2 linked regions of the Saccharomyces cerevisiae S288C genome follow. Changing the gene in region 1 together with any one later gene gives a genetic interaction. Each region holds a gene or a part of one and is shown on either strand. Other genes may lie near its edges.

Region 1 (13,500 bases):
TTACTTCATTATTTTAATTTTGCATTAGTACTCCTCTAGCCAAAGATAAACAGAAATGAACAGACAGGAATCCATAAATTCGTTTAATTCAGACGAAACATCTTCGTTGTCTGATGTAGAAAGTCAGCAGCCGCAACAATATATCCCTTCAGAGAGTGGATCTAAATCCAACATGGCTCCTAATCAACTGAAGTTGACCCGGACGGAAACCGTGAAGTCATTGCAGGACATGGGTGTGAGCTCCAAAGCCCCCGTTCCTGATGTTAATGCTCCTCAATCTAGCAAGAATAAGATTTTTCCTGAAGAATATACTTTAGAAACCCCTACAGGTTTAGTTCCTGTCGCCACTCTACATTCCATAGGTAGAACTTCTACTGCGATTTCCCGTACGAGAACTAGACAGATCGATGGCGCTTCTTCGCCTTCTTCTAATGAAGATGCTTTAGAAAGTGATAATAACGAAAAGGGTAAAGAAGGCGACTCTAGTGGTGCGAATGACGAAGCTCCAGATCTAGATCCGGAAATTGAATTCGTTACCTTTGTGACTGGCGATCCAGAAAACCCCCATAACTGGCCTGCATGGATCCGTTGGAGTTACACTGTCCTACTGTCAATCTTAGTTATTTGTGTCGCCTACGGGTCTGCTTGTATCAGTGGTGGGTTGGGAACCGTTGAAAAGAAATACCATGTAGGTATGGAAGCCGCTATTTTATCGGTTTCTTTAATGGTTATTGGGTTCTCGCTGGGTCCTTTGATTTGGTCTCCTGTTAGTGATCTTTACGGTAGAAGAGTTGCTTACTTTGTTTCTATGGGTCTTTATGTCATCTTCAATATCCCTTGCGCCTTAGCTCCAAATCTAGGTAGTCTTTTAGCTTGTAGATTTTTATGTGGTGTTTGGTCATCATCTGGTTTGTGTTTAGTTGGTGGGTCTATTGCCGATATGTTCCCAAGTGAAACAAGAGGTAAGGCTATTGCTTTCTTCGCTTTTGCTCCTTACGTTGGTCCCGTTGTTGGTCCACTAGTTAACGGTTTTATTTCCGTTTCTACCGGACGTATGGACCTGATTTTCTGGGTCAATATGGCCTTTGCAGGTGTTATGTGGATCATATCTTCTGCCATCCCAGAAACGTACGCTCCAGTTATCTTGAAGAGAAAGGCTGCTAGATTAAGAAAGGAAACTGGTAATCCCAAGATTATGACTGAGCAGGAAGCGCAAGGTGTCAGTATGGGTGAAATGATGAGGGCTTGTCTGTTGAGACCTTTGTACTTCTCTGTCACTGAACCTGTTCTAGTTGCTACTTGTTTCTACGTGTGTTTGATTTACTCTCTACTATATGCGTTCTTCTTTGCCTTCCCTGTCATTTTCGGTGAACTATATGGCTACAAAGACAACCTTGTGGGTTTGATGTTTATTCCTATTGTTATCGGTGCTCTTTGGGCGTTAGCCACAACTTTCTACTGTGAAAACAAGTATTTACAAATTGTCAAACAGCGTAAACCTACTCCTGAAGATCGTTTGCTAGGTGCTAAGATCGGTGCTCCATTTGCTGCAATTGCTTTATGGATCCTGGGTGCTACCGCTTATAAACATATTATTTGGGTTGGTCCAGCTTCAGCTGGTTTAGCTTTTGGTTTCGGTATGGTGTTGATTTATTATTCATTGAATAATTACATTATTGATTGCTACGTCCAATACGCATCCAGTGCTCTGGCTACAAAGGTTTTCTTAAGATCCGCCGGTGGTGCTGCCTTCCCCTTGTTTACCATTCAAATGTACCACAAATTGAATCTGCACTGGGGTTCTTGGTTGTTGGCTTTCATCTCCACTGCTATGATTGCTTTACCTTTTGCATTTTCTTACTGGGGCAAAGGTTTGAGACATAAGTTATCCAAGAAGGATTATTCCATAGATAGTATTGAATAAGAGTAACGATTTTACGAATCGAGCATAATAATGAAAAATTATAGTAGTAGTAATGATAAAAACATAAGCAAACATAAGCAAACATAAGCAAACATATCAAACATGCATTCAAACCATTATCCGACAGTAATGTACATATATTTTTACGTATTTTACATTCTTTCTCTATTGTTCTTTTATCTATTGCTATCCTAAACAAATATATTGATTGACCTTCAAACCGTGAGTAACTTTATTAATTTATATGTATAGAAAAAAAAAAAAATTGAATTAGAAATTTGAACTTCTCAAGTTCATTCTTCTTGTACCTATGCGATGACTTTATTTTCGGTTTTTACATTCCTCCTCATTTGACCGAGGAATACGAATTTGATTGACCCCCACTCACTAAACAAAGGGTCGGAATTCTTTTCCACTTTAAAACTTAGTAATAACAACAAAGTCAACAAAATAGTCCTATTGCAAAATTGCAGGTTCCTTAATTAATATTCTTAAATGATCATCAATAGGCGTATTTTGAAATCTTTTGAAGAGATAAGTCATTCATTAGAGGAATCACTACGAGAGGTTGCATTTGATTCACAGCAACAATTGATTCAAGACGTACGTGAGGAAAATGAAGAACTAAGTAGGTTACAAGATCAATTACAATTGATCAGGTCAATTGTTGAAAAAATCTGCATTTCAATCAAAACTGACAATATTGACTCTTATTGTTCGGTGCCTTTTGATTTGCTATACAATATTTGCAAGGACATTGCTGATCCCTCATCCTTTGAAGACGGAGATTTGCAATATCTTGTTAGCCAAGCCATATTTGAGTACATTATATTATTGTGCTACTATTCTGTGACCAACGAATGCGTCCAAGGTTTACCTGCCGTGTATGAAGCTGAACAGTACTACAAAACAGTAAGTGATTCAATCCTAAAGTCTTTTCTTTACTGTTTACAAAATTCAGTATCGACAATACGTCTTTTATCTCAAACTGTTTTGAAGGATGTAAATAAGAAAAAACTGTCGCATCAAAAATGGTCCCTAAAGGCCTTGTCAGTTGATTTACTAGAAAAAATACGCCCAAGAATAAACAAATTTATGGTGATTCGGAACTTCAGGTTTGTCGGGCTACCGAAGAAACCAATTGAAATAGCTTCATTGGTTTCTGATATACCTCGCGGTATAGTGCACGAAAGACTTGATATGGTCACTCAATCATCAAAGTATTATACTATTAAACTGGGGCAGTTGATCACTGAATTCGATCAACAACCAGAAGAAAATGGTATGTTCACCGAAGTACATTTACCGAACTACGAAAGACGTCTAAAATCTTTACAGGACTTCTTTGGATTAGCCATGTCTGATTCGAATTTACTAGATGTGATCCGATGCTCAGCGAAATTTCATAAAGATCATCCTTTAAGAAGGTTCACTAAACCAAGTATATTGACTAGATACTGGCCTTCAATTTTGTTGTGTCTTTTATATGGACCATCTTCTGTTATGTCGTTGTGGAATTCCCGGTATTTTATTCAAGATTTCATTAAGACCAATGTCGTTGACTTTGCGAAAGGGCTGATCTTGAACTGGTTATGGGCACCCCTGAAACAGGTTTGGTCTACTGTTAAGCATGACGAGGGAAGCGCCATTTCAGTGACATCACAGGAGACATTAAACTCTGACATGGATTCTCTTACCAGAATGATTGTTAGTTTTGTTGTGGATAATAGTGATTCGACGTCTAACAGCCCCATAGACCCTATTCTATTGAGTACTAAAGTCGAACATGGTGATTTGACCGAATTTATGGAAATATATGAAACACAACTACATCATCCGATAAAGAATATAGCTACGGGTGGATTAGTCAGGTCTTTATTGATTCAACTGCAAAAAACAAAAGTCGATGGATCTATGGCATTGAATGGCATTGATAAAATGCTGAAATCGCAACAGTTGGTGTTTGGAGTTGTAGCATTATCTCCGGCTTTAGTGATACTATATTCTTCTATAGTGGCGTTAAAAAGATTTGTCAAACTAGGCAATGTCTGGTCTAATGAAAAACGGTATAGGGAGCAAATAAGTATAAGTTTGAATAATGTGGAAAGAGTTTTGAATTATTCTAAACAAGGTGCGGACGCCGATGAGGAACACTTAAACCAGGGTCTACTAGTGATTGAGGTTTCTAACTTATACAAATTGGGAAGTTTTTTGATCCCGCGTTCAAGAAAGAAAGAATGGTTTAGGGACGTTGAGGAACTGGTGGATACCAATCTTGACTCCGGAGCTCATATAAATGTCGTCAACAGGATATACCACGTATATGGCAGGTTTTTAATCCATTAGCGTATAGCCTGCTGGGGAAGAAGAAAGGGAAGATATTGAATATATTCTTAATGTATTTTTTGTACAGACGTAAATATAAAGAAATCAACGCAAAATCGACGCCTTTTTACTTTTTATACTTTTTTACTAAAAAGACAGATTTTCTCGCTCATATCATAAGTGATGTACTATTATCCTCCATATACGATATATCTGTTTAAAAAAAAAGAAAAAAAAAGGTTACTTAAATTCATACTCATTAGAAAAAAATTCTAGGGATAACAACACCAAAGGTAGAACTTCGTTCAATTTATGAAAGGTTTGGCCATAATGGAGAACAAATGAATGAAGTATATAAAGAGAAAAACGACTTAAAAGATATTATTAACAATATCTGACCCAATACTAGCGCCTGCCCCAAAAATGGCGGCATTACCCAATTTGCTACCAAAGCTCTTCAAGTGGCTATGTGAGCTCTGATGTTGTTGTTGTTGTTGTTGTTGTTGGGGAGGAGGAGCTTGTTGCGGCTGTTGTTGAGGCTGCTGATAATAATTTGTGGAAGGTGGAGGAAATGGCTGCTGTTGATAAGATGATGCGGCACTATTTTGCGTGGGGATTTGTTGTAATTCTTGAGCTTTATACTGTGGAGGTGGTGGAAGATTGGATGGACCGTTAGACCCAGAGAAAGCTGGCTTGACATAGTTTGCTGGGAAAATACCGGTACGGCCATTACAGCTACCCTTGTACCACTCTGGAGATAATTTTTCTAAAAGTTGGACCTTGTCACCTGGTTTTAAGCCCAAATCACCATCTTGTTGAGGATCAAATTGATAAAGAGCTTCGACATATTCCAAGGAAGCTGGACTGGCGTTGCGGGGTGCATTGGCAGGATCCCATTTTGCCGGCAAGCTCTTATTTATTTGATCGTAAACGTCATTTGAAATGACATTTGACCCTTTTAGAAAATCCAGTTCTGTCCTAATGTTTGTTAAGGAACGATTAATCAATGAAGCAGACATTTTTGAAATATCAGATTGCCTTCTTTCCTAATGTTCTTGTGTTTGCGCCAATGTGGGCACTTTGCCTATTGTCTCAACCGATTTGAGGTTCGACTATATATGCAGCTTACAATATCCATCCCCGCCTCGAAGGAGGCTCGGTTAATCACGCTGCACGAACGAAAACAATAGTTAAAGAAACGTTTAGAACAATCTAGCGCTTTGAAGAAAGAGTATTAGGCTCTTTACGTGAAGGATGGCACATTCTCATTCAAAAGTTGCTGCTAACTTTTATCATCAAATCAGTAAACCCCTTCTTGTTTTTTCTTGACAGAAGCTTTCACATAACGGAACCAACCATGGAATAACTTAGCACCACATCGAAAAGGATTTGGACTACTGCGCAACAAAGTGGGACCCATGTAGACATAGAAAATAAACCAGATCTATAGATCGCACCTATTAAAAACCCCATAACTGTACCAGTCGTCAAGCCTTGAACGCCTCCGTATAAGACGTACATGACGAATATCCATACACTTCCAGCCTTCTTTCTATGGGTCAAGCTAGCATACACACCAGCAGTAACGTAAAATGCACCATTAAAGATCAAAGTCCAGTACAGCGAAAATTTCCAAATGTCAGATATATAGTATAAGAATGCAGTATTATACTTCGAGTTGTTGATGGGCCAGTATAATGAGGGGAATTTTGGCGTTACATATCCAACAGGTATATCGTTATTTGTTACGAATGATCTGAGCACAGGGAACATGCGACAGAGTAGTGGATGTTTTTATTGTTAGTTTTGTGCCTATTATTTTCTTAAGCCACAGGGAGCGATGCCTGCATCCAGCCGTGGCGGATATAGTCTTGGTAATGAATAACATACCTCATAATACGGCAGGAAGTTGGAACTGATCTTGTTGGCAGTTTTTATCTTATACAGAAGCGTCAAGAGTAGGAAAAGGTTTTATTATTGCATATTTATCAACTTTCAGTATGTTTCTTTTTTTCTTCGGCAATGAAAGAGAAAACAATATAATTGAAGAAAGAGGAAATAGTGTCCGAAAGAGATTCTGATATGTATTATAAAGAGAAAGACAGTTCAGTAACACAGAATCGCCATGCGTGGAGAATGGCAGGAATTTAAGACACCTGCAGGCAAAAAGTATTACTATAATAAGAACACGAAGCAGTCTCGATGGGAAAAACCTAATTTGAAGAAAGGCTCTAACCTAGAAAGCAATGCGAAAGAATCACAGACAGAGAGGAAGCCAACATTTTCATTAGAACTGGTTAATGGTTGGCACTTAATAATATACAACGATGGTACAAAACTTTACTTTAATGATGACTCTAAGGAGTTCAAAAATGACATCAGTCAAGAGGACGACAGCAGGTGTCGCTCATTAATCGAGTCGTTAGATAAGGAAAAACTGGTTCTTCTGATTGGCGTTGCCAGAGGTTACACTATGCGGGAGGAGGACATTGATAAAATCCTCGAATCTTGCAACGAAGAGATTCATCTATTTAAAAGAAATCAAGACGAAGTTGAGAGAAAAGATGAGATCAGCGAAGAGGCGGGTGACGTAAAATCCCCTTTACAGGAAAGCCACACTGGGCTAGTCAGCGGGTATGGTTCATCTTCGGGGGAGGAAGACGAAGAGGAAGACGAAGAGGAAGACGAAGAGAATGAAGAACAAATTGTAAATCAAGATATCAGCATTATCGATGATCTGAATCGTATTGATACAGATGACATTGACGAGCGTAATATCTTCTTCGAATTATTCGATAGGTATAAACTAGACAAGTTTTCCACGTGGTCGCTGCAAAGCAAGAAAATCGAAAACGATCCTGATTTTTACAAGATCAGAGATGACACAGTTCGTGAAAGTCTTTTCGAAGAATGGTGCGGCGAGCGCAGTGGCAATGCCACCGCTGAAGAAAGCGATAGCGAAGATAATAGCGAAGACGATAGCGAAGTACTAGAACCAACAAAATACCATTATCTGGCACAAATTGTTGCTAATGCGGGAACAATCGCACCCGACACCATCCCACAAGATATAAGGAAACAACAAAAAGCGTTATACAAGGCCTACAAAATCAAGGAGTATATACCGTCGAAGCGCGACCAAGACAAATTCGTTTCCCAACTGCTGTTTTATTATAAGACGTTCGACTTGGAACAGCGGAAAGAGATTTTCTGCGATTGCCTACGGGATCACGAACGAGACTTTACGGGGGCAGTCGAATCGCTGCGTCAGGACAAAGAGCTTATCGACCGATGGCAAACACTTCTGAAAGCACCCGCGGACAGTAGTAGTATAGAGGATATATTGCTGAGCATTGAGCACAGGTGTTGTGTCAGCCCAATAGTGGTGACGGAACCACGCTACTACGTCGTGGGCATTCTGGAGAAGACCGTGGTCTGGGTGCGGTGGCTAGCCGCCGAGGTCGGGCCATCAAGCCGGTTTACCCCAGTGGGCGCGGGGAACGAGCCGATAAATCCGGAATAGGAAGGGCAGACCAGGGGAGCAAAGAGTGATTAAGCTTACGCACCTGGTATGGACGTGATGGAAGTGGGGTGGTGATAGCAACCAGAATACGGTAGGGTCTTTACGCTTAGTGTACCTATCGGTATTCAGGCTCTTTGCCAGTGATTGGGGCTGCGGGATCCGCCATCATATCTAGTCACTTTTGTATAAGAATGAATGATAAGAGCAGGTGCAATTTTCGGACTTTAGATGTTTCTTGTGTTTCATTATTTATAGCACATTTATTTTTTCCCTCTGAGTGTGTGTCTGCATGTATACATTTTAGTTGAATTATAGAGAGTAACGAAACACACACGCATACACGTATATACAAAGACATATATACGTACGGAAATAGTGAATAAGGATGATTTTATTAAAGAGGACAAAAATTAGGGGCGTCAGCGTCTCTTTTGTAAGCTTGCAAAGAAGGACTCACAGCAGACTGGTGAACCCCATAAGGCAGCAACATCAACAAATTACCAAGCAAAGGAGTTCAAAGATTTTAAAGAATGCGCATTTCTATGACTTTAGATCGCTGCCCAAAGTACCTACTACACAGTATTTGGAAGCTAGGGAGCTCACCCGCGATATTCTGTATAGCGGATACAGGCCAGTAATGTACCCAGTGAAGGAAAACCCGCTATTCAGAGATAAGAAGAGAAAGTCCTTGCAAACGTTATTAACAATGAACGAGAAAACAAACGCAGAGGCGAAGACGATCGATGAGAAAAAGCACAAGAACATATTGTTTGGTGAACGTGGCACTGGTGGTATAATGTCAGGTGGCGTGAACGGTACATGGAAGTACAATCCCACCGTACCCAATGAGCTGTTGCCATTCAATTGGTGGTCTACGTCCAGTATGGGTATGGAATATTTTCCTGAATGGAAAAACGTGCCCCCATATATGATGAGAAAGTTGAAGCCGTTTGACAAGGCACTGCAAATGCGGTTGACACACAAAAGCAAAAAAAAGATGAAATAAATAATAAATATTTGGCATATACATATGGAAAATGATTTTATAGCACGATTCCTCATACATAATAATAATAATAATAATAGGAAACAAAACTATTAATTTTTGTAACCGATTTGAACTCACATTAGGGATCCACGTCACGCCGTGCGCGGAACGGTAGGATGAAAAAGGATAAACAGAACTTACATACAAAAAACTCAAATCAACGCAACAGGTATGTAGTGAAGTAAAACTAGACAAAGAGAAGGATACTTTAGTTAGATATAAGAATAGTATGAAAAGATTAAAAATTAAAATATTAGAAGAACAAATTATAATAAAAGAAAGCGGGGTGAATGATAATAATAATAATAATAATAATAATATTAGTTAGAAATAAGACTTCTTCATAATCGTTAATGAAGAAGTGCATATGATTTGTTATTTTTTTTCTGGTATTTTTTTCATTTTTTTCGGGTTTTCCTTGGGTATAATTTTTTGTTTCTTCCGAAAGACGGAAAGGGATGAGGGAAAACGGAGTTTTCTTATTTGCTTTCTTTTTTCCCTAATTTATTCACGGTGTCCATTTATTATATTCTTAATTGAAAGTGGCGTAAAATTTAAGTTGGTGCGCTTCAATTAGACTTGGGAAATGGTTGGAACACCGACTTGGCCAGTTCTTCTTCTCTTGGAGAAAGAACCAGAACCAAAGGCACCATTGGAGATCATGTTGAAAACAGACATCAGGGTCTTAGCCAAAAAGATGGCACAAGAGAAGTAGAGGAATGCAACAGCGGCTTGAGCTTGTCTACATCTGGTACCGGAACCTTGAGTAATCTTGTTACTGTCAACGTATGAGCTGTTGTTACATGAGTGAGCTCTGATACCAACGGCCAACACTGTACCGGCAGTGAAAGTGAACACAAAGTTCAAAAAGTCCAGTGTGAACAAAACTAGTGGCCATGCCAATGGTTCAATGAAGTTGGCAAAGACACCGTACAATGAATCGGTGAATATACCATATGCACAAGCAAACATACAGTAGTTTACTCTGGAGCTGTGCCTATGTTGGGTGTTTAACAACGAACTGATTAAACCGATGGAAATAACCAAAAATAGGAAATTTATTATACGTAGAATGTTATCAGCTAGGGCTAGCATTATGGGATTATATTGTTATTAGGTATGCTTTGAGAAGAAAAGTTTTTTTAACCGATTTTTCTTATTGAAGATGTTTTTTAAAGAAATGTTTATTTATCCTTTTAAAAAAGCGCGATGAGCAGAAAAATTAAAAATGTAAAACCTTTTCAATTGTATTTTTTCTTGATCAATTGCGAACAAAATAGTGGTATAAGTTAAATTTTCTTAAAAAAAAAAAAGGAGACGTAGAAGAAGAAAGAAAAAAGTATCTTTTAATTACAAAACAAAGACTCTTTTATAAAGGAAAATCTGACAGAAGATTGGGGCCAAGGAATTTATAGGGGTATGATTTTTCTGTATACATATATGAGGAAGAGGGGAGGGAAATGGAAGAAGAAGTAGGAAGAAAAAAAAATCAAACCAATTCTAGTCAATTCCGTTAAGGCAGCAAGCTGCCCATAAGTTTCTGTGAGGGGGCGATCACTTTTATGTTTTGGGCATTTTAATTATGACGCAGAGGTCCGCGGACAAGGGGTTTGCGATGGACCTTTTAAAGCAACCTTGGGCCTACCTCAGGGAAATGCCCCTACCAACGTCACTAACGGGCGTGTGCCAAATGGGCCGATGCTCAGATGCGGCCGTTAAAATGGGGGTGGTGTTTCGGGGCCCCGTCCGTATGTGGAAATACCAAAACAGTAGGGACATGCATCCTTACATCATCCGGTCAATCATCAGGGTAATACATATTTTATACTTAATCCGAGATTCGGACCCCTAGTGACAGAATTAACCGCATAGAACCTCTCAAGCCCGTTTACAAACAAAAGCCGCATTGCATTCTCCTTCATGGGATGGTTTATCGAAATAGTTGGAATTCATTCAACAAGGATGTGATGCAACTACACAACAGTATGCTGAATGAAGGCCTATGGAAATAGCCGGGAGGAGGCAACAGTTCCTTTGTATCGGCAATCGGGCTCCGCGAGAAAGCCGCGTATTCCTCCTGGCTGCTTCCTTTCTCACCGCTGCCGAAAAGCTTAATTATCTGTATAGTTTGTTCCGATGAGCGAAACGGCGTTAACATCAAGGGTTAAGGTAGGGAAAGTGGGAATGACGAGAATTTTTTGCTACGCTTTTTTAGCAATTTAGTTTTGGAAATATTGTGGCTGCTCTTAATTGTCCGCCTAAGGAAAAGACATGAGCAACTATGCAACATAGGACAAAAGAAAGAAGAAAAAAGGAGATCTCCGGAGAGGCAGGCGGCTTTGCCGTTGATTGTAATCTCTTTGTTCAGGAAATTGATATAGTTAATTGTATATGGGATTAGCAGTTCTATTTCATGGATTGCAAATCAAACGTGTGGCTCCTCGAGCGGTAGAGACATCTTTCCCGCTGATGTGTGCAACTTCATATATGTTCATATATGAAATTACGTTTGATTGGGCAAACATATTCCTGCTTTAATAAATATACTCAATTGTTGCAGTTCGTGAAAATTGTAACACCACCTTGAAGTGCATTTCACGAGTGTGTAACTGGGCATTTTATGAAACTTCTTGAGTACTACTTGTGTAAAGAAAGCGAGGTTAGCAGTTTAGTTAGTTGGCTCTGCATCGCTTTTAACGAGGATTACTTCTCACTCTTAAATCGCTAGTTGGCTTTTTTTAGCACTCGACACGCATATCCCAGTTTTGGTTTTCATTTCTCTTGAAATAATAATGATCAGGGAAAAAAAGGTTGCAATACTTATACATCTGAACAGCAAAGTTAGGTAAAACCATAAAATTCTGGTTAGAAAATGTCTGGTTATTTTTCAGGGTTTTCTCTAAACAAGATCACCGATTCAATTGCCACCGCTGCTCACAAGACCCAAGACACTTTGAACAATGCATTAGCAAATGCAAATGTAAACTTAAATGACCCTCAAACAAGACTATCAATCAAATCGCGAACTAGATTTGTTCAGGAATCATTGGGTACTGTATCAGATATAAGTAAATTACCACCACAGTACCAATTCTTGGAGAAAAAAAGTGATTCCTTAGAGAAGGTATGTAAAAGGATTCTACTGGTGTCCAAAACGTTCGAAGTAGAGGGCTACGACTATCCACCAAATTTAACGGAGAGTATTTCGGATTGGTGGTCTCTCAATAAAGATGGCTGGTTTGGCTCTAAAAAATCCGAAAGTTCCACTAAAAAAAAGGGATCTAACCATGACGATGCTTTTTTGCCAAGGTCTTTTGCTCAAGCCATCTCAAAAGCCGCTGTTGACTGCGAATGTGAATTTCAAAATTTAGAACACAACGAAAAGGCAGAACTAAAGAAGAAAAAGGAGTCTATCAAAACTGCACAGACAACGGAAGCTCAGGGTGCCGACCATAATGAAGAAGACGAGGAAGATGAAGAAGATGAAGAAGATGATGAAGATTTGTCTAATTTGATCAAAGTTTTCGATTCGTGGTCGACATGCTATAAAAATATCGATGAAGGGAAGGCAGAGATGGATTCTATGATGGTCAAGGAATTCAACAAAAAATTAGAAACATTAATAAACCAAGACTTCAAGAAGGTCCATGACCTGCGCAAAAAAGTGGAAGAATCAAGACTCAAATTTGATACAATGCGTTATGAAGTCAAAGCAAAAGAAGCAGAGTTAGAGGCGAAAAAAGCTGAAGCCACAGGAGAAGCACATAGCAAGGATGTTAGCGCAAAGGACATTAGCGCAAACACTACCACCTCTTTTGACGAAACGCCTTCTACCGAGGATGAAAAGCCAAAATCAGAGGGTGCCGAAGAGGAATCAAAGAAAGAAGCGAATGAGCCTACTGTTGATGACGTTGCTGATAGAAAAGAAGATTTAAAGAGTAACAAAGTAAATGATGAGCCACCGATTGAAGAATCTGAGGATAATAAATTACTGGAAAAACTGGAGGATGAATTTGTCTCCAATACTACAGCAGCAGTGGAAACAATGGAAGAAATCACTGACAGTTCTGAAATTCTGGGCTTGATAAAACTGTTCCAGAATTTCCAGTTGGTTTACTTTAGACAATGTGTCCAAGAAGTGGAGGCAAACCTTAAAGTTCTAAATGGTTTGGAAATTTAGCAAATCAGGCAACTAAAACATTACTCATTCATGTATAAAGTAATTTGATTGTTATTTTTAAACATTATATATGATGTAAGTTTCTTCTATTTAACCGCTTGAATTGCGTCGCTGTCCTTACAATTCCTTACCCGAAAAGTATCGCAACTGGAAAGCGCTCATTAAGAGGAAAGGAAAACAGCATTAAAACGGCAGCAAAGCCCAAAACTACTGGAGGGAAAATAGACAGTCCGCTTGCTACGCCATTGCCCGCCTGCTCAATTCTAGTGACAAATGACTGTAAAAGAGTATACTAAATCGAAGTTGCCATGCTCGATATTGAATATCAAACCTACAGTCACTAAAAGTGGCGAGGATGCGCCTCTTCTAGTATGGATCCCTGGTAATCCTGGGCTTTTATACTATTATCAAGAAATGCTACATCATCTACACTTGAAGCACCCAGATTGGGAAATTCTTGGCATATCCCATGCCGGAATGACATTGAACGCTCATTCTAA
Region 2 (4,762 bases), on another chromosome or scaffold:
TATTGAAGTAACCTGGGACACCACGGCTTAACAGTGGGTAGTTGTCAGCGGTCACTGTTATCACACCGGTGTCATCTTTCAACTGTAGAATATCATCTATATTATGGGATGCAGTGGCTGTGGACTTCTGAAACTTATGGAATATAATGGCGAGCCATATAATAATGTATGTGCTACACCACTTCATATTTTTTTTGTATGATTCAGTTCGCGGCTCTCATCTACATGCAATTTTATTATCAAAACTTCTGAATCCAAGTTCCTATTTTATTTTTTTGCAGTTTTCAATTCGCGACAGTAGCTCACTGGCATAAAAGACTAAAAAGGAAATGAATAAATGAATAAATAAGTAAATAAATAAATAAATACTGCTTGTGATAGTCTAAATAATGTCAGATATAGTTAATATTTGTACGTATGAATGCCTTTTTGAATTGCGGTACCTTAAGTTATGTTTCGTTTGCGGAAGCAAGCTGGTATCATGCTGGATGTATTTTTTATCAGAGTCGATATTTCAAACCATTAAGCCTGTTTTTTATGTCCTTCAATTGCTTTGTCTCAGGCTCCCATTCCTCAAATTCCTTAAACAACATCTTGATTTCTTCATTACTGAAATGCTTGTTGGACTCGTACATCAATCCCCTCATACACCATGGCAGACGATAGGGGTTGGCTCCTAACTCAGACAATTTATATGGTGAGTACTCAATTGGATACATTTCGGACAAATCGGTTGTTTCTAATGCAAATTTGATGCCCAGATGGTAGACCTGTTTCTCATTATAAATGGTAGAGTGACCACCTCCTGTCAGGGTGCCCGCCAGAGATCCGCTTATTTCCTTTATGATTCCGTGATCGTTATAACCCAGGTTTAAGAGTGAACCAGCAATTTTAACTATGCGAGTGATAAATGCTGGAGTTTGTGATCCTCTATCAATAAAAATGGCCCGAAATATATTGGGATGGTTGGCAAAAAGACATGTGGATGAATACAGAGGGACCAGTTGATCATTGATGGATCCCACAAATGTAATCTTAACGTTATTTGATATGATTGTTCTTAGGCCTTCTATGAAGCTTTGCGATTGTTTGGAATCAAACTTTTGAAACTCGAATAACTCCCTCAATGAGTCTTTTTCAATCGTCTGGTAAGCACGAACAAACAAAGTTTGATCTGCACCGTAGAATGGACCATTATTGATACCTGCCATGGCCAAGACCGAGATAATTTTTTTGGACGAACAAAACTGAATTTCATCGTTGAAAAATTGAGAATTATCAAGGTTTATTATGCCGTTTTTGATCAGCTTCGCTAAAAGCATAATGGTTACCGGACACCCCTGCGAATGGCTAACAAAATAAATAAAATCAGAATTGTTTATTTCTTTGCTCCAATGCTTCATAACTTCGTAGAAGAAATCTACTCTATCAAATATCTCTCCTTCTCTTTCAAGAGCGATCTTGCTTATTTCAATGGGTACTTTATGTTGATCAAAATATTCCTTCACTATTTCCTCAGCTTCTGTGACAAACTTGGTAGATGTACCCGTTGGCTCACCAATAAACGGTCTAATAATTTTTGTTGGAAAGAACCCATGAACGCCGACAATGAGAACTCTGATGGGCCTAGATTGGTAATCTGATAGAAGGTTTATTTTTTTCCATGGATCAACCCTAAATAGAGATCCTCTGTTGTGTTCCAACCGCTCCTCATCTTTTGCCTCGTTTGCAACTGTGTTTGTTTCCTCTTTTAACTGATTTTGTGAGTGCTGCACCTGTTCTTCCCCCTCTCGTACCCTTGATGAAGGTCTTCTATCCCAGTATTCAGTCTTCCACTTCCAAATTGTGGATGTGACTGTATTCCATATGGTTTGTTTCGGTAAAATATCGAAACTTGGTACAACAATGTTAGGAAACTGATTGCCTATGTCATCTGTTAATTTCTTAGCAGTTTTGACACCTTTATCTCTGATCAATATAGCATCAGGTTTATAAGGTATGTAAGTGTTGGTTAGAGGAGCCGGATTTAGACTATTTGCTAAACGTGATAAAGTGTTATTATCCGCATCAGTGGGAATGTTATGCGTCGGCTCCGGATCTTTTTTGTTACGGCCCCAAAAGAATGGCCATGCTCGTGGTCTTGTGTTTTTTTCTACTATAGCTGCATTTCTGTCTTTTTTGTCCTTCTCACCCTTCTCGATCCTGGTGGTTTCCTTTAAAATCGTTGTTTGTTGATTATCGTGCAAGCGTGTTCCCTCATTTGAAACATTGTCATTTTCTTGACTGTTGTCTTGGGCGGTTTCCTTTCCTTTATTTTTATTAGATAACTCCGGTTCTTCCTCGTCATTACCTCCCCATATAGACCAGGATTTGGTTGTTCTGTGCTTAGGCTCACTAGGCCCCATACGACCAGACTGAGTATGTACTGAGCGCAGTGAGGTCGTTGAAGATTTCAGACTGCTTTTCGGCGAGGAATGCAATGGAGTCGTGACCATTCTACCTACTGGTACTCTGTATATAAGTCTCTTCCAATTCTTCGTAATGGTGTCTATTTGTAGTGCAAAAGTGCTATCCAAGAGCAGTGATAAGCCCACTATATGTATAAAGCCGAATCTAGTGACTGGTGGGAATAAAAAAGATAGTTTTCGAACTATTCTTATATGAACTTTCCATGGAATTACCTCACGTTGTTCACATTAGTGACTTGTAAAAAGCTTTACATATAAACTCAATATTTTCCCTATTGTCAAAACCTGGAATGTGTCCGCAACGCGTAATTCATCCATAATGATATATATTATCAGAAGCTGTACACAAGCCGTTCACATACATGTGGTGCATGAGAAGATTGCCAACAAATTCAGTTATGACGGTGGCTCGAAAGAGAAAGCAAACTACGATCGAAGACTTCTTTGGTACAAAGAAAAGCACTAATGAGGCGCCCAATAAGAAAGGTAAATCGGGCGCTACTTTCATGACCATAACAAATGGCGCAGCTATCAAGACAGAGACAAAGGCGGTCGCAAAGGAGGCAAACACGGACAAATATCCTGCTAATTCAAATGCAAAAGATGTATATTCGAAGAACTTGAGCAGCAATTTACGTACACTACTGTCGCTGGAGCTAGAAACGATTGATGATTCGTGGTTTCCACATTTAATGGATGAATTTAAAAAGCCATATTTTGTAAAGTTGAAACAGTTTGTCACTAAAGAGCAAGCTGATCATACAGTATTTCCGCCTGCAAAGGATATTTACTCATGGACCAGGCTAACGCCTTTTAATAAAGTTAAAGTCGTGATTATCGGTCAAGATCCCTACCACAACTTTAATCAGGCGCATGGCTTGGCTTTTAGCGTCAAACCCCCTACACCAGCACCACCGTCATTAAAGAACATATATAAGGAACTGAAGCAAGAGTATCCTGATTTTGTTGAAGATAATAAAGTGGGAGATTTAACTCACTGGGCTTCACAAGGGGTTTTATTGCTTAATACCTCGTTAACTGTAAGAGCACATAATGCAAACTCGCATTCTAAGCATGGTTGGGAAACTTTTACAAAAAGGGTAGTTCAGTTGTTGATCCAGGACAGAGAGGCCGACGGTAAGAGTTTAGTATTCCTCTTATGGGGGAACAATGCTATCAAATTAGTAGAGTCTCTGTTGGGATCTACTTCCGTTGGAAGCGGTAGTAAGTACCCTAATATCATGGTGATGAAGTCAGTGCATCCGTCTCCATTAAGTGCAAGTAGAGGATTTTTTGGTACCAACCATTTCAAAATGATAAACGATTGGCTATACAATACCCGCGGAGAGAAAATGATAGACTGGAGTGTTGTTCCTGGAACGTCATTAAGAGAAGTTCAGGAGGCAAATGCTCGCTTAGAGTCAGAATCAAAGGACCCTTGAATATTACTATTGCATATGCAGGTCTCGATTTCCAAACTCTTTAAAAGCATATAATAGATAAAAAACTAAATAGACTACTTTGTGGCACAAAGCAGAAAAGTGGATTGAATATTTTTCAATCTAAAAAGTAAATATTATACAACCAAATTGAGAGAGTAAGGAGAAGTAAGAAAAATAAATTGCTTGAAACCGGCAGAAAGGAAGCTTGAATATGGGTCAGGACGTGAAACATATCATTTTTTCAACGCTTCCTTTTGAGCGTTCAGTAAAGTGAACACTGGAGCATTCAACTTACTCCTGCCTTTCAAGAAATCCAACTCCATAACAAAGTTATATTCCAAAAGGTTGGCTTCGAGTTGTTCAACTAATTCGCCGGCTGCAGCAGCAGAACCACCAGTGGCAATAATGTCATCAACAATGATAACGTTGGAACCTGCTGGAATAGCGTTTTTCTGTATCTCAAAAAGATCAGAACCGTACTCCTTTTCGTACGTAGCCTTAAAACATTCGCCAGGTAGCTTACCTGCCTTCCTGACTGGAACGAAACCAACACCTAGGGCCAAAGCTAAAGTTGGTCCGAACAAGAACCCACGGGATTCCAACCCGACGATATAATCAATTTTAACTTCTGGAAAAGCTTCTTCTAAATGCAGTTTGAAAGCATCGATCAACTTCTGGAAAAGACCTGGGTTCCTGAAAATGGGTAAGAAATCTTCGAAGAGAATGCCTTCACTAGGGAAGTTTGGATATTGATGTAAAGCCAACTTCAACTCTTGGGCATAACTTGCTATAGACATGATTAGTAGGAATATTTGCGATAGATTTCTTTGAAGCAGGCAAAATGCGTGAAAA

What was found.
Region 2: mutations in YPR148C (region 1) and YML020W together harm fitness more than expected from each alone (negative genetic interaction), as found in Saccharomyces cerevisiae (one large-scale study listed by BioGRID).

What each region holds. Positions count from the first base shown.
Region 1 is NC_001148.4:826,333-839,832, reverse strand, and holds YPR148C (uncharacterized protein), read left to right. Parts: upstream 1-11,692; coding exon 11,693-13,000; downstream 13,001-13,500. Other genes in the region: TPO3 (spermine transporter), read left to right, coding at 56-1,924; NCA2 (Nca2p), read left to right, coding at 2,420-4,270; PIN3 (Pin3p), read right to left, coding at 4,621-5,268; MAY24 (May24p), read right to left, coding at 5,588-6,005, 6,140-6,144; URN1 (Urn1p), read left to right, coding at 6,375-7,772; SUE1 (Sue1p), read left to right, coding at 8,158-8,778; NCE102 (Nce102p), read right to left, coding at 9,394-9,915; YPR147C (bifunctional triacylglycerol lipase/ester hydrolase), read left to right, coding at 13,274-13,500.
Region 2 is NC_001145.3:228,882-233,643, reverse strand, and holds YML020W (uncharacterized protein), read right to left. Parts: upstream 2,496-4,762; coding exon 501-2,495; downstream 1-500. Other genes in the region: OST6 (dolichyl-diphosphooligosaccharide--protein glycotransferase), read right to left, coding at 1-187; UNG1 (uracil-DNA glycosylase), read left to right, coding at 2,831-3,910; adenine phosphoribosyltransferase APT1, read right to left, coding at 4,144-4,707.